Linked DNA regions of Oryzias latipes. The protein of the gene in region 1 interacts with the protein of each later gene in a pairwise test. Links are inferred from orthologs where the notes say so. Each region holds a gene or a part of one and is shown on either strand. Other genes may lie near its edges.

Region 1 (4,530 bases):
CTAAAACACAAAACTTCCAACCTAACTAAACTGATCCTTTTCTTTTTTGTTGATCCGCAGGTCCGTGCTGGTTCCCGGGCTCTTTACAGACCCATGTCTGCCTCTGTGCTCTCCAGGCCTGATGGCAAAACAGAGGTAAGGATAAACAAAGTTTATAAACACTTTTGTATTATTGACTACTTGTGGTGTTTTTTTAACAGTAACTGTATTTCCCATGCCTGTCTGTGGTGTTTCTTTGAAGTGAATGTTTTCATTTTTTGTCTTTCGCTGCAGAGCTCTGTTGCTGTGATGCCACAAAGCCCCCTCACACAGGTCACACTGAGAGGCTTCCAGACCAGTGCCATCAGCAGGGACATTGACACCGCCGCCAAGTTCATTGGTGCTGGAGCCGCTACAGTCGGAGTCGCTGGATCTGGTGCTGGAATTGGAACAGTGTTCGGTAGTCTCATTATTGGCTATGCCAGGTTTGTTGCCATTTGGTCACTGTGTACATGTTTTTTTGGGGTACAATTCAAATGTTTTCTTTACATTTATTGACTTCTTTTTGTTTGCAGGAACCCATCTTTGAAGCAGCAGCTGTTCTCATATGCCATCCTGGGTTTCGCCCTGTCTGAAGCTATGGGACTATTCTGTTTGATGGTTGCTTTTCTGATCCTGTTTGCAATGTAAAGCACTGCCCTCCCAACACTTTCATTACAGATGTGACTACATATTTTATTGTGGCTTCTAAAATTGTTCAGTGTTGGTGTCATGGAAATGTAAATTTTTCAAGTCTTTCCGACACAGTCAAAATTAAACAAAACATGTACAAACATAACAATGTGCGTGAATTTAATACATGCATTTGAGTATTTATCAGTGGCAGCAACGTCTATGTCTGGAATATCATGGTAACTGAAAGCAGTTTGCTCTCACAAATGTCAGAACATCTTCTCCCCTTGTGAATCAACTTGCTTTCTGAGAGTTATATGGGGTCCACCGTCATAAGCACTTAACTCAGTTGCAGTTAAGTAGAACTGTAAGAGGCAACAAGTGATTACTTGCTTTTGTAAATCACGTTGAATAAATCTAGATTGAATTATAATTTGGGTTTTTGAATTTATTTCCCGACCCCAACAGGGTTTCGAGGTTTGTCAAATGAATGAGTTGCCACTAAAACGGTCCATCAGAACAAAATTCTCAGTTAAAAAGTAATTGTCATTTGGAAGTCAGTAAATTAGTAATATTTGGCAACAAAGTTGACCAAATGTTTTTTTTTTTTTGTAATATAAATTACCCATGTGGTTTGTTTACTGCTTCAATCAAAAATAGTTCCTTGTGATTTAATTTAATATAGAGTACACGATAATGTTTCTCTAAATTGAATTGTTTTAAAGAAATTTGGCCTTTGAGTAAAAAAGGAATGTTAACTTGAGGTGGTTCCGTAGACTGTAAATAAAGTTGTAATGCAGTAGAAATGATGGCAATTATTTATAAAATATTGAATTTATGGGTAAATGGGTAAATTTATGGGTAAATGGGTTTATTAGTGTCCATTAGTATGTTTACGGCGTTTGGGTTAGTGTGACGTTTACGGAAGAAGAAATTGTTTTCTCGCGATACTTTGGGGTTTGGGAAAACAACGTTTGTGGCTAAAGGGGTAAGTAACAACTCAAATTGAAAGCGAGTTTTATTACAAATGCAAAAAAGGGCACCCTTTATCTGAAATCGGTGTTATTTTCTTCCAAGTGAAATTAATCCCCCTCAAATTAAATACCAAAAGGTTATCTGTTTAGTGATTTGTTGGTTCTAACATGGCGACGGCTGTGCGTTATCTCAGCTCAGGCTGGAGCGGAGGATCGGATCATAATGTAGCTTTTGTTGTGTGATGACTTTAGTCGGAATTAAACGTGAAACTTTTTTTTCCAACAAAAAACATGCATAATTTCTTTGTTCGTGTTGAAAAATACACAATCCGAACGACCACACACCGAACGACCCTGCACTGCATCACCGAGCTAATAAATAAGCACAGACAGAGCAACCCCACCTCCTCACTGGCTTTGTCCAAAATCTTATTTGTCCTTTCACTAGATTTGCCCTTAACAGTCCCACTCGAGTCTCGAGTCATTTCTACTATTATCTAAAAATTAACCCTCTAACCCTCCTTTTGATCAGCCACGATTACGTGGTTGTCTTTTCTGTGGCTGTTGAATTTATTTCTGTTTTAAATGGAAATTAAGTTAATTGAGATGAAATATGTTGTTTTTATTCATTTATTGTAGGACAAAAATATAGCAAGAATTTCTTAATATGAGTGATGACAAACCCTTCCAGTGTACTGCTCCAGGATGTGGACAGGTAAGCTGACATAGTTCTTCATAGTTTTTATTTCTTTTTAGTTAGTGATTCAGTTATTTTTATTTTTTGAAAAATAGAAGGAAAAAAACCAATTCCAATGTGTTGTAAATTTATATGGTGGAGTTGTTGAGCTTACATCTTTACATTCTAGATTATTTAAAAACGTTGAAGGTATTATAATATTACATGTTTTGAGATACGGTAGTTGTATTTCTCCAGAGACTAACTTTAATATATATATATATATATATATATATATATATATATATGCATCAAATATGGTAACCAAATATTTGGGTACTCAATGTGTACATTTTACATACATTTGCTATCTTTGCTGATAATATCGAATAATTCAACTAAAAAACGTAGTTTGTGCATTCTTATCAGACATTTTAAAAGCTGAAGTTACTGTTTGAAGGATTTGTGATTATTTGTGGTACAGATAAATCCACTTAAAAACAGAATCACTGGAGTTAATAAAAGCCTGAGTCTGCATCCAATTTGAGGATTCACAAAAGGGTCAAATAATAAAAAGCATCTCTTTTTTGAAGTCACATCAACTGTTTAATTTCTAGTGCCAAAGTAAAGTTGGCTAAAGGGTAAAAATATGTAATTATTGTGGTAAATGTACGCGCACAGTCACAATAAACATAAAAACACACATTAAGCCTATGTTTATGTTTATTTAGGGTTTGATTTCTTTGGATTTTAGCAATGCACCGTTTACTTTTTGAAATTGTTAGTATTTTAACATATTTAACATTGTGAGTCATTGTTGTCTCTCAAAGGATATGCAGAATAAAGTTGTTTTTTTATTCATTTATTTCCTTTTTACCTTGCTCAGAGATTTACAAATGAAGACCACTTGGCTGTCCACAGACACAAACACGAGATGACACTAAAGTTTGGCCCAGCGAGGACCGACAATATCATAATTGCTGGTGAGTCCTTCTTAAGTTTTATGTCTATAGATGTTTGTGTGTTTTTGCCTCCTTAAGTGTGATTTTTTTCTTCTTTTATCTTTTCTTTTCTCTATTACAGATCAAACGCCGACACCCACTCGCTTTTTGAAAAACTGCGAGGAAGTCGGGCTTTTCAACGAACTTGCCAGTCCTTTTGACCATGACTTCAAAAAAGCAGCTGAAGATGACTTGAAGAAGGTTGAGTTTGTTCTGTAACTTCTGTCAAATCTTCTCTTAGGATGATCTCTGAAGTCCAGAGTTTATATCTGCTTTTTTTCTTTTTCTTTTAACCTTCCCAAAGCTACCTCTGGATTTGTCACCTCTTGCTACACCAGTCATACGCAACAAAACTGAGGAACCCGCAGCTGTAGATGCACATCGGAACAGCCCCCTTCCTCATCCTGAGTCCACCACAAACGATGACAAGGTAGATTTTTTTCTGTTTAGTTAGCTCTCTAATGGGTTTTAGGAGTGCTATTAAACATGAATAATTAAGAATCCTCCTGTTTCTGTAATCATTCATTTACTATAGAAATTGTACTTCTTCTTTCACCTGCTTGAATTCTTCGATTTATTTGTTTTTTATTTTCAAACCCCACTCTCTTTTTTTTTTTTATTCAAACACTGCTCTTAATTTTGATTTGGAAATCCTAAAACCAACCAAAAAAATATTTGCAAAAAGTTCTTGTAACTAACTAAGCTGGTGTTCACTAAACATTTCTGCAGCTAAGGTCTTGTATGATGTTTTCAGGACTTAACTTTGCAGCCTGCCTCACTGCCAACATCCACTATAGTCCATCCTGCATCCCTCCAAGTTCCCAATGTACTTCTAGCAACCACGGACGCTAATGTTGTAATACAGCCAGCTCTCCCATCGCCAACATCTAGCTCTGTTATTACCCAGGTTCCATCCACTAATAGACCCATAGTGTAAGTAACGGAATGCGTCCATTTTTAAAACAAATCTTAGTTTTTAGTTTTTTTTAATCATTTTTGTGTAGTTTTGTGCATTTTGTGAGGCATGTGCTTGTATTTTATGTTTATTTTTTTAATCAATCTGCACTCTGGTGTAAGTCTTTCATTTTGTTGTAAACGCCAAATCAACTGTGAATTCTTCCAATTTTAGCGACATCTTTAAAAAGCTACTCACATTATGTACTGTTCAAAAATATAGATTTATTTTTAGGCTACTATTTTACTTCTAACACACCAGCATAAGTCAACA
Region 2 (4,420 bases), on another chromosome or scaffold:
ACTACCAGGGAATCACACTAGTGTCACTAGTGACAGTGTCACTTTAATTAATTGTAAAGGTGATTTGTTTTTGTTTTTTTGGTTTTGTTCAGGAAGAAGTTGCCATTTTGTATGACTTACAATGTTAAGTAAAGTCCAGTGGAGTTTAGAAACAAAGGATTTGTATGTTTGTGTCAGTCTGGGGGGGCTTGAAAATATTCTAATCTTCAGAAAGGGGGGCCCTGCAGAAAAAGTTTGGGAACCACTGCACTAGACAGTGAACCTTTTTTCTTCAATGATATGTTATCTTCACTGGTGTCCATGGATTACATGAAATCTTTCCACCTTTATCCACCTTTGTCATGGTAGGGAGAACACGTCAATGGAAGGGGGGGGGGGGGGGGGAATCTAAGATAGCACAAGGGTTATTCTCTCCATTCCTGCAGAAATGCCCCAGCTCCGTCTACATATGGCTCCACCTTTGTGCATGTTTGGATGCACATTTCTGTGAGAGAAGCTCTTCTCAGTGATGAAGACTAACTAAACAGCAGACAGCTGTCGTCTCACTGATGATCACCTGCAGTCCATCCTGAGAATCTCCACAACACAGAACCTCACAGCAAACACAAACCAACTGTGTGACACAAAACGATGCCAGACGTTCAGCTCTGATCAAATGACACAGGAGTAAAGAAAACAGAATGATATGATTTGTAAACGCTGAATTTGTATAATTTGGGCAGGATATAATCTTATGGAGAATAAAATCTTTTGGGATATTTACAATTTGAACTTAATTTTTGTATAAAATGACATGTTTAATGAAATTTGAATTTTTTTCTTTAATATTTACTTTATTTCTATCTTGTTTAATTTTGAGAGTAGAGCAAAATAAAGTTATTTAGAGTTTAAGTTGATTTATTCTGGAACAACGTTTTAGATTTATGTTTTAAAAAGTTGTAAAAGTTTACATTTTTAAATTTTAGTTTACAACAGTAGTGACCCATTTACAAACGGGGGGGGGGGGTGCAGGAGGAAAACAGATCTCTAAAGAGAAAAAAAAGGAAAGTGATCAAAAAGAATGTTTTAAAAGTTAAAAGCCATTTAATTTTATGTATTTACCTGAATCTATATCTATCTATCTATCTATCTATCTATCTATCTATCTATCTATCTATCTATCTATCTATCTATCTATCTATCTATCTATCTATCTATCTATCTATCTATCTATCTATCTATCTATCTATCTATCTATCTATCTATCTATCTCAGGTGCTTTGGGGGGAGAAGGGGACCCCCGTTTTGGTCCTTGGGTGGCATCATCACTGGATCAGAGTCTATAAATAAGATGATGTCATCCCCCTCCCCACCCCCACCCCTCCTACCCTCGCAGTCTAGTAGGATTCCTAGGTACTGCGTCACTAAGCCCCGCCCCTGGAGTTCCTATAAGTGGGTGATGCAACGGGAGAGACGAGAAGCGCAACTCAGTACTGCGGAACCGAACGGAGCAGTCCACGCCGGAACCAGAGCCGGAACCAGAACTTTCAAAGGTGCGTTCCTGTCTTGTGCTGGAGGCGGGGAAGGGGGGCGCTTTTCCGCCGGTCCGGTCCGGTCCGGTCCGGCCGTGGCTCTAAACAGAAAGCAAACTGTTTGTAGGTGCTTCTCGTTGAAAGACTTAGTTTCTGTTCATGGAAGTGTTTCTATTTGAATCCTCCGCTTTAACCTTCGTTTTCTGCTTACCAGTTTACCTTCAGTCAGTAAATAACACTCAAAAACGCCTTAGGGAGGGAATCGAACCGGTGTGATGATCAGAAGTTCTTCTTCCGTTGTAGCCGCGGATGTTCCTCTGAAGGAGCAGAACCTCCTTCACCTGCTGTTACACAACAAATGTGTTGACTCTTTATCTTCATGATGTCATTATTACTCAGCAGAATCTGTCCTGGAAGTCTCTGGTTAGCAGTCAGAGATCTTTAGGGTTCATGTGGGCGTTTCTGCCTGAATGTAGTCAGTTAGTTTATGCTACTGGAAACCTGTGTGGAAAAACATTGATACTACACAAATACTAGATAAAAAAACACCAAGCCACATATAAGTGCAACATTAGCTAAAAAAAAACTAAAAAAGTTCCAGAGCAAAGTATTTCTTGTAAAAAGCAGAGGGCGTGTTCAGGAAGGGGCTAAAGAAAGTCCAAAACCAGAAAGACAAATGGTGGGAGGGGGGACGCTGAGCCTGACTGTGACTGAAAGTCTGCCGTGTCTCCAGAATGATGCTGCAGCACCTGGGACCGTCATTGGCTGACATCAGCTGCTCAGCCCTGGTCCCCTGCCTGTCCCCCCCAGGAGAACTCACTCTAGAAGACTTCACCAACTTCACCCCCATAGTGAAGGAGGAGCTCCGTCAGGTCATCCAGAACAAGCGACTGTCCTGCGGGCTCAGTGCAGACGCCAGTTCTGACAGCGCCAGCTCTGCCTCGGACCAGGCCCCGCCCACCCACGAGTCAGGGGTCAAGAGAGAGGTGAGGCAGGTACTCCCCCCACGCCAGTCTGTTGCTGAGTGGATTCTTTATTCAGAACTCTGTGTGGGTTTCAGCTGACGCTAGAGGAGCACGACAGGAAGAAGAGGAGGCGAGAGAGGAATAAGATTGCTGCTGCAAAATGCCGCAGCAAGAAGAAGGAGAAGACTGAAGGTCTGCAGAAGGTAAACTCTGTTTTCACCAGGCTGTAACCAGGAGCTCTTTGGAGGACATGCATGAGACCAAGTGTCTTACTACCATCACAGTTTACTCATTTAGCAGATATGTAGCTTCTGTGTGCTTGAAACGGAAGCCTGAAGGTTGCCTCTGTGAACCTTCATCATTTCTGATAATGCAGATTATTCTGCTTATACTATGGTCACTTCCCAAAGAAATATTTAGTACTTTATTCTTGTTTTTTTTTTTAGGTTTTCACAAAAATCAGACTAAGTTATATGCAGTACGTTGTCATGGTAATGGCCATAGAGACTGCAGCGGCAAAAGAAAGTGATTCATATGCTGATGGGTTGAATAAAGCATCAGTTCAGTGTGAAAGTTCACGTCTTACTGCTTCTTTTTGTCCAGATGAGGAAGTTAAAGTTTGTTTCAAAGAAACTAACTGTAAAGTCTAAATAGTTCAGTTCCTCCTCTTGTCGTATTTCTTCCTTCTAGATCCACTTCTCTCTCGTTCTCTTTTGCTGCAGTCTCTAAAAAGATCAAATTAACCAAACAGGTGAAAGGAAACTATAAAATCACTCATGTTTTCTACTGTCTTACTGTTGTAATAATCTGGAATAAGGCATGACAAACTATGTTTGTTTATGTTTTAATGGTGATAATCGGAATACCGACTTGTGTTTAGGCCACTGCAGTGATAAGGAACATTTGGGGGGTGTGACTGGAACTTCTTTTTTAGGTGTGGGATATCACTTTGAAATATACACACTGCAACCAATCAGAATTAAGTATTCACCTGGACAATGGTATAGAGACTTAACAGATTCTCTGAGGTGGAATTAGTCTTTCTAGAAAAAAGATCTGAATTTGAGGCATTTTACAAATGGAAATACAATTTCATGAGGAAAAGAAGATAAAAGTTTGGTAAGAATTAAAGTTGTCAAAAAACATTTATCCTCAAATGAAAAGCGTGTCCCGGATCTTGGTTTCTCTTCAGCAGCTTCTTTTGGTTTCAGACCTGGAACTTTTTTAACCAAAGCAGCTTTCTGATCCCTCCACCTGATGTTCCAAAAGACTGAGCCCCGTTTGTTCTGCGTCTGCTCCTGTTAGGAGTCAGAGAAGCTGGAAAGCATCAACGCTGACCTGAAGGCTCAGATCGAGGAGCTCAAGCAGCAGAAGCAGCAGCTGGTCTACATGCTGAACCTGCACCGACCCACCTGCATCGTCCGGGCCCAGGACGGACAAACCCCAGAGGACGAGAGGAACCTCTTCCTCCAGCACATCAAGGAGAGCAACTTCCAGCTTCACAGCCTCACCTCCACCACAGAGGGCTTGCTGGGGGGGGGCCCGCTAAGCCTTGACCACATTTGCTGTCCCGCTGATCTATGACTGAGCAGAGGCTGCCCCCTACCAACATCAGAGACTAGCTGAGTGTTAGCCTGACCTGAACAGGCCTGACCCAGAAAGGACTGCGGGCCACACTTGGCTCACACAAAGCTGCAAAAACCTGACTATGCACTGAGGGTTGTGAGGGAGGGGGACATCTGTCATGCATTTTTTTTGACATTACACATATCAAAGCTTTCCTGATGGTTATGTTGGTGTGTTGCACTGAAGTCAGATTTCAACAAAGCACTTTTTCTGTTGGCTCAGCCCGGCCTGCACAGCAGCAGCACCAAAGTGAGAACAATTACTGAATGACTGCTGTATGTTCCGATTTTCCCAAACAACCTGGCTCTGTCCGATGTC

The links.
Region 2: the proteins of atf2 (region 1) and atf3 interact in binary tests that used the Homo sapiens proteins (3 or more experiments, as listed by UniProt). The link is inferred for Oryzias latipes from reciprocal best matches to the Homo sapiens genes ATF2 and ATF3.

What each region holds. Positions count from the first base shown.
Region 1 is NC_019879.2:22,381,597-22,386,126, reverse strand, and holds the start of atf2 (cyclic AMP-dependent transcription factor ATF-2), read left to right. Parts: upstream 1-1,563; 5' UTR 1,564-1,639; intron 1,640-2,264; 5' UTR 2,265-2,292; coding exon 2,293-2,340; intron 2,341-3,187; coding exon 3,188-3,284; intron 3,285-3,384; coding exon 3,385-3,503; intron 3,504-3,606; coding exon 3,607-3,732; intron 3,733-4,056; coding exon 4,057-4,235; intron 4,236-4,530. Other genes in the region: atp5mc3 (ATP synthase F(0) complex subunit C3, mitochondrial), read left to right, coding at 61-135, 274-464, 555-669. UniProt on the Homo sapiens protein: Transcriptional activator which regulates the transcription of various genes, including those involved in anti-apoptosis, cell growth, and DNA damage response.
Region 2 is NC_019882.2:23,408,944-23,413,363, reverse strand, and holds the start of atf3 (cyclic AMP-dependent transcription factor ATF-3), read left to right. Parts: upstream 1-1,407; 5' UTR 1,408-1,438; coding exon 1,439-1,532; intron 1,533-2,244; exon of another isoform or gene 2,245-2,245; coding exon of another isoform or gene 2,246-2,321; coding exon 2,322-2,497; intron 2,498-2,571; coding exon 2,572-2,679; intron 2,680-3,781; coding exon 3,782-4,060; 3' UTR 4,061-4,420.